Arabidopsis thaliana: one gene and its partner. The protein of the gene in region 1 interacts with the protein of each later gene in a biochemical or structural test. Each region holds a gene or a part of one and is shown on either strand. Other genes may lie near its edges.

The links. The genes of interacting proteins can lie anywhere in the genome.
Region 2: the proteins of GDU1 (region 1) and LOG2 form a complex in vitro, tested with the Arabidopsis thaliana proteins (2 studies listed by BioGRID, with this or other methods).

What each region holds. Positions count from the first base shown.
Region 1 is NC_003075.7:15,359,164-15,362,659, reverse strand, and holds GDU1 (glutamine dumper 1), read right to left. Parts: upstream 1,649-3,496; 5' UTR 1,454-1,648; coding exon 977-1,453; 3' UTR 586-976; downstream 1-585. UniProt on the Arabidopsis thaliana protein: Probable subunit of an amino acid transporter involved in the regulation of the amino acid metabolism. Stimulates amino acid export by activating nonselective amino acid facilitators.
Region 2 is NC_003074.8:2,996,506-3,000,265, forward strand, and holds the start of LOG2 (RING/U-box superfamily protein), read right to left. Parts: upstream 1,751-3,760; 5' UTR 1,331-1,750; coding exon 828-1,330; intron 647-827; coding exon 139-646; coding exon of another isoform or gene 124-138; exon of another isoform or gene 53-123; coding exon 1-52. UniProt on the Arabidopsis thaliana protein: Acts as an E3 ubiquitin-protein ligase, or as part of E3 complex, which accepts ubiquitin from specific E2 ubiquitin-conjugating enzymes and then transfers it to substrates (in vitro).

The DNA of each region.
Region 1 (3,496 bases):
GATATATTTTTGTGTAATTTATTGATAATCTTTTGTGTGCGATAATCAGCCATTTTTATTTATTTTTTGACATATTTGCAAGTCGAAAAGTATTTTAAAAGATCTTAAGTAATAATCAGTCTTGAAAGATTTTGTAGTAGTAAACCTAAAATTTAGGCTTAAAAGTCTTGGAGAACGGTCGATATAGATAAACAAAAATCATGTGGAACTAGTCTATTTTTCTTGTATCCTAATAGTAACATTATGTTATAATGATTTTTAGGATTATAAAACTGTCGGCGATGTATGTTTTTGTTCATAAATCTAACTTTTAGATGTATTTTCATGACAATATTCGAATGAGATTAAAAAATATATATGTAGTCAACGTGTGTTTCGGATAATTTTCTTCTTAAACTGCTTGTAAAAACACTAAATGATTACACCTCATAAAACTCTTCGAGTGAGGAAAATAAATCTTGCTGAATTAAAAGAGGAAAGAAAGTGAAATTGGCATATGGATCAGACAGCTCTGCTGTCAACAGATTGAAGCACTTTCTCTGTTCTGACAGCCAACAGTTTGAAGTACATGCAAGGTTTTTAAAAAAGTACAATTTTTGTGACCGTGAGTAATCAACCTAACCACCATATGAAATTTCTGAATTAGCACGTATTTCCACTCAAAAATGTGGAAAGTTATATAATCAAAACGAATTGGTTGGAACAATCGAATCCTAAATATATGGATGTACACACATGTACACGTAAGAAACCGCAGTTTCAAATATACTAGACTTTTTGGGGTGAAGTGACTAAATATTTCCTCAAACTACAAAATTTAGGATAATACGATTTAATATATCAAACGGTAAACACTACAGAACAAGTAAAAACCCCAAAATTTTGCTCTCTAGTAAAATTTACATTTCTAGGAATCATGACGAGGACAATTCTCCAGAAAACTCTCAAAAAGACGTTAATTTAGAAAAAGAAAAGTTTAGTGACTTGTAGTAGTTGTCTCGCCGGTATCTTTCACTTTCTCTTCTTCGCCTTCTCTCATCTTCTCTTCCTCTTTGGCAACACTTTCCTCCTGAGAAATCACCATTTTACCCTCGTGACCACCACACGTACACTTTTTCATCGCCGGTGTCGCCAGATACCTCGGCAAATCTTCTCCGGCCATTATGACAAGAAACTTCTCCTCGTAAGCTCCGTTCGCCGCCTTATCTCCAGACCGGCTCTCTTTCTCTTCATCTACGTTTTGACCATCTTCTTCGCCGGAGGAAGACAGGCGCCAGTAAGAGCAAGCGAGGATGAGAAGAGCAAAGGCGATTAGTCCTAGCATCGCCGCTAAACCGCCGAAGAGGTAAGGAACCGGCGAGTGCCACGGTGATTGCGGCGTCACTCCGTGGTGATTAACGGAGGTTGACGTTGCCACATCTTCAAACTTCGATTGTACGCTCAATGGTCTCATTTTTGTTGTTGTTGTGTGTAATCTCTTTTTGTTTCTCTCTGGACTTGTGTGTTTTGGAGATAATTTCTTCTACTTTTGTTTTTCTAACTTGATGTGGAAAAAGGAAAGATGAGTAGGAAACAGAGGAGAAGGTAAAGAGATGTATTTATAGGTATATGCAACTTGGGGACAAAGAAAGTGACGATCATATTTAATTGATGGAATTTAGTGGAACCAACTCTTTATTTCTTAACCATAGTGAACTCATCAACGTATCTCTCTTTTATTAAAGAAAATAACGTATTTATACTGTAAGAACTAAGAAGTTACAGCTGGACAAGTGAAAATGTTAAATTTCATTCAATATATCAACAGAACTAGACAGCTAACACTTTTATTTTTCATTCTTGAAAATAATAAAATACAGTGATTTGAGAGTTGAGATATACATAGTCCGTACAGATAGAGGCATATTTTTTGAAATCGATGTATTATCCATATACCACGCAAAAAAAATGTTTGTAGCTAATCAGAATCAGGGCATAGTGAAAGAGCAGTTTAGATTGGGGTGTAGTGGAATATGACAATGTTTTCACGATGATAATAGCGAACAAAGATTATTTGAAAGTGAGTGAGATTGTGGGTTAAAGTGCCAACAATTTCATTTTGTTTTTCTTCATTATTATTTCCAAATTTCATTTGGCTCTGGTGCTTTGACTTGACATATATACTCATTAATTAGTCTATCTTTCTTCTTTTCTTGCCTCTAGCCAAGACTATGCGGTGATTCCATTTTTTTATTTTTCACTTCTTATTAAGAGCTATGGATAAGAAGATCATAAGTTTATATAAGATCTCATTTTGTTTATGTGGTACGGTGAAGCATCAATCGTAAAGATGGTTCTGTGTAATTTGATGTCCGATTCCCTATAGTTCTTTAGTTTTAGTCCTGTAATTTTTTTATTTTTTTATTGCAGTTGTTTAATATATATGTTTATCAGTTAAATTTAGAATCTCTTTTTTCACCGTGGAATGATCCAATATCCACGGTAAAAGAAAAACTTGGGTTATCCTTTAATTTCCTTAGTTTTTCTTTACCTAATTTTTGCTTTTTGTTATTTTATTTTTATCTCACATCTTGAATTCTTGATTATACTTTCCCACTGTTTAGCCACAATTTGATTCCTCTTCTTAAGAATGTACGTTGATTTCTTTTATGCTTTCATCTTTGATGCTTTGTTTGTAGAGAAAATTAGGAATCTAGCATTTTAAAAAATTCAATTTGTTCAAATAACAGATACTATAGAAAAATCGTTGATGTTTTGTCTATTTGCTCAAGAATTTCGGCGTGGAAGCTTTGGAACATTGGCGTAATAGTTTTGAAAAATATGTAACGTTTACTTGTCAAATAAATTTTTGTCATGTTTTAATTCATAAACTTCGGTCGAAAACAAAATAGAATCATAAAACAAAGCAAGAAAATGAGTATCATGGGACTGGATCCACAAGACCGGGACATGTTTGATTTTTATGGTAATTATTTTTAGGCAATCAGAAAAATTGTGTTTTTAAAAAAGCAAGATAGAGAGATATTTTTAAAAAGATATTGTTATTTAAAAACATAAATCAAAATCAAAATTGGGAATTTCTTGTCAGTGAGAGAATAATAGTTTTATATATAAATAAAAAAAATACAGGTCCCATCTCATATGAGTATAGCAAGTTTCACAATCTTCATCATTAAAGAACTCGTGCATCGTTTAGAAGAAAAAAAGTTTTTACCTCTTTTTTAATTCTAAAACAGTATCAAAGTTTTTTACAAGAAAAAGAAAACAATAAAAAACAACAAGGGATAAGAAGGCCGCATTGTCCATTGGCAATCATTCCACTAATCACTATTAACATGAGAAAATAATATTTGTATAGTTTTGTTGTGTGATTGTGTCCCACGTTTCGTCAGCTTCCACTTCGCACCTTTTAGCAGTAGAGGGTACGTTTTCTTTCTGCACGGACAATCACCGCTCGTCGTTTTGTACTATTCGTCCCTACTCCTCTCATACATAT
Region 2 (3,760 bases), on another chromosome or scaffold:
GGCATCGATTTGTCTGAAACCTCAATACCTTAGCACATCCGCTACACATACACTGCACCACCAAACCCAAACAATTTTTAACATCTATATATATGTCCATCATCACATAATAGTAGTAAATCATCAGCTTTCACTTACCATATGTCGACATGGAAGAACAGTGGTGTCTCGTGGTTCAGACAAACATATAACACATTCTTTACCAGGATCATTAGCATCATCAGCTGAATCATCATCCCCCTCAACTGTATTCCCAATCCCATAAATCTCCTGCAACTCATATCTCGTTCCATTAACCCATAGTATCTGCTTCACCACTCTAATCTTAATCTCTCCTTTATCCTTCTCATAAACCGCTTGAGTAATCTGCGCATTCTTCGACCCCGACCTTTCTTCTTCTTCATTCTCACCACCTGAGGGAGCTGCTTCTGCCTTAACCGCTAATGGATAGATCTCTGTGTCTGCGGCCGCTTTGAACAGCTCAACGTCCTCAAAGACCGAAAAGTCTATACCAGAACCAGATGATTGTTTAAACTTCTGACCAAGTCCTTTCTCGAAATCTAGAGTGATAGGTGGCAGTATATCTTCCTTTGTCGCTGTGAGTTTGCAATCTTCGGATTCTTTAGCAAAGAAAATGACACTAATCCTATTTTTCACAAGTCCAACATAATAACATAAGCTTAATTCAATTACACATGAAGAAGATTTGATCAAATTGCAATAAGAAGATCCAAATTACATAGTCACGAGGAAGAACACAACAAAATTCACGTGTTATCTGCTCAAATGGATCACGAAATCAACGAAAGGGAGAAAGTGAAATCTACCTTCCGGAGACGGTTGCATCAAACGTAAAGGAGACGAGAAAGCGACCCGGATTATCCGGGTCGGGTTCAAGCCTAAGAGACTCCTTCTTGAGATTAACGTCGTTACGAATCGTGACGGCTTTCTGGTGTTCAACGTAAGGAGTCGGTTGAGCCATCATGTGACCAGCATAAGGGTATCTGGCCATCGCCACGGGAGCCCAAGAGTGGTTGTGGTAAGGATGCGGTGGATGATGTTGGAGGTGGTGGTCGTACGGCGGAAGAGGCATGGCTCCCGGGGGAGGATGGTGGTAGTAAGAAGCAGGGTACTGGTAAACCGGATTAGGATTAGGATTAGGATAGGGAGTAACGGCAGCGAAAACGATGGGATTAGCTTGGATTTCTGTAGGTAGAGGTGGTGGAGGAAGAGAAGAAGAAGGAGGAGGAGGAGGTGGTGGTGGAGCCGCCGTATGGTTTCGCCGTCGACGGCGTCTACCTTCACCACCGCTGCTGCTAATGTTTCCCATATGTTATTGGCGTTAAACCCAGATCAAAAAGACAAGATTTTTTGGTGACCCAAATGATCAAATCTCAGAAAATTGCTAAATTTGTGGGTGGATCGGAGATTCTGGGGATTAATATTGAGTGAAATGTAAGGAATTACGAAAAGCAAAAGCAGAGAGAGTTTAGATGAATTAAGAAAGAAAGAAAATAAAAAGAGAGAGAGAGAGATAAGAGAGAATAATTTAGGAGAAGAAAGTGGGTAATGATATGATGAATGGGGTCAGGTTGGCCAAGAAGCTCCACCCATGAACATAAAACACCTCCCACCCTCCTTCGATGGTGTTTATGTTCCCAAAAAGCTTTCTTTTTTTTTTCTTTGGACTTTTTTTCTCCTTGTTATTAATAATTACGTTGATTATAAGGAGTTTTGTCTTTTCAAAAAACAAAATTCAACACGAGTACTTAAAAGAGTTGAGGTGTGTTATATGACGACAAAAATATAGAAAGAAAGATGTTATCTTTTTAATTAGAAACACATTCCCATTAATTATTAGAGCATCTCCATTTGAAGTATCTCAATAAGATACCCAATAAAAAAAAAAAATAATTAAAGAAGAAAAAGTATGATAGAAGGAAAAAAAAGTAGAAGAGAAGGAGAGTTGAATTTCTCTTCCGAGAAACTTTGAGAAACTATTCTCATCCAATTTGGACAAGTGTCATCATACTATTAATTCAATTATTAAATAATAATTAATGTATCTGTTTTAATTAAAATATTATTTTTATTTTTTTTTAGAATCTTTCCTTGTTTTTACTGATAAAGATGGTCTTAAGATTTTTATTTAGGTCTACATTAGGATTAATTTGTTCATGCTTTAAAAAGATGATGTTATTTTCAGAAACCATTAATTGAGAAATCCAAATATTTTACAGAGTGAAGAAGTTGTCGATCATTGCATAGTTCTGTCTTCTGTGTGATTAAAGAGTTAAAAGTCACTTGTGCTGTCCGAAATGTATACTAGGCAATAGGCATTGTCTACTTTCCGCTTCTAGACTTATATTGCCTAAATATCTACTAGTAATTAGTGTGAAGTTTAATATGTATTCCTAACAAAGTAGGCTATACTTTATTTTTATTTTTAACCTATAATAAACCTACTTTTTGCCAACATAATATTCTTATATACAGTAGTCCGAAAAGATGAACTGGTATTTTGGAATTCATATTTAAACTTGTTTTGTCGTCTTTGAATAATTGTGTATAAGTTTAACCCAAAACACAAAACAAAACTGATGTATACTTTAATGTCTTAAAAATTAGTGTTTCTACAAAAGCATAAGCTCCGTTGACCAAAAAGAAAACATAAGCCCTAAAAGAGTTTTTATATTTTCAAAACCCTAAGCTAATTTTTTAAAAAATTTGTATGAATTTAGAGTCAAGAGATCACCATTAGCTAAAAAAAACGTCACAAAGAATAAAAATATATAAACATTCTTTCAAAGGAAGATATATATATATATATATATATATATTCAGTAGCCAGATTAAACTGTAACTATTGGATGTTTGATATTACGTGAAATTATATTACATGTTGATTTTGATCAAAATCAAATTATATTCGTGATCATATACAGATAGATATCATATTGAAACATTCCCATACGAAGGTAGTGGTGCGATTCGAAATCAAAAATAAATAAAGAGACATAATAGAATCGCATACCTAACCACTCGCACACACTTTCATTAAGCAATTCCAAAAGACGAACATATATAAACTAAGAAAAATAAATGGGAATCAATTATAAAATACTCTATATATAGTGGGAAACGGCAGACCGGATATATCATCAAGTTGGATACATATGTTGTGTAAAATCTGTAAAATCAATTGTATCAATTTATAGTTATGTAGACCTATGATCGTGACATATATATATATATAAAAACTAAACTTTGTTCTCTGTTGAATGTTGATGCATCTTTGTTATAATTTACAGGATAACAAATATGACGTCGAACGTAGCATCTTCTTGGAACACTAATGTAATATACATATGTCAAAGATTTTCTTAGGTTTGAGTCACTATGATTGAAATAGATCGAGCTCAGGTGTTTCTAAGAAGATATTTCGTTAATTAGTGAGTATGCTTAGACCCTTACATTATCTTTATGATACTAGCCGATAATTTATCTGAAGTCCGCATATCAGCAACGTGTCACGTACTATCTACGAATCCATCTAAAGCCAAATACTTTCATTAACTTCATTTTGTCGTTTCCTCAGAGGTGATGTTACCCTAACAAGATTTGTATTTGAGTGGAACAAATATATATATGTTAGATCTAATTGTGTGGTTCGTAATGAGGAATGATGTATCAATGAGGAATTTCGTACATGTGTACTTTGTGTAAGATCCCAAAAAGAGAGATCGTTTCCAATTTTGAA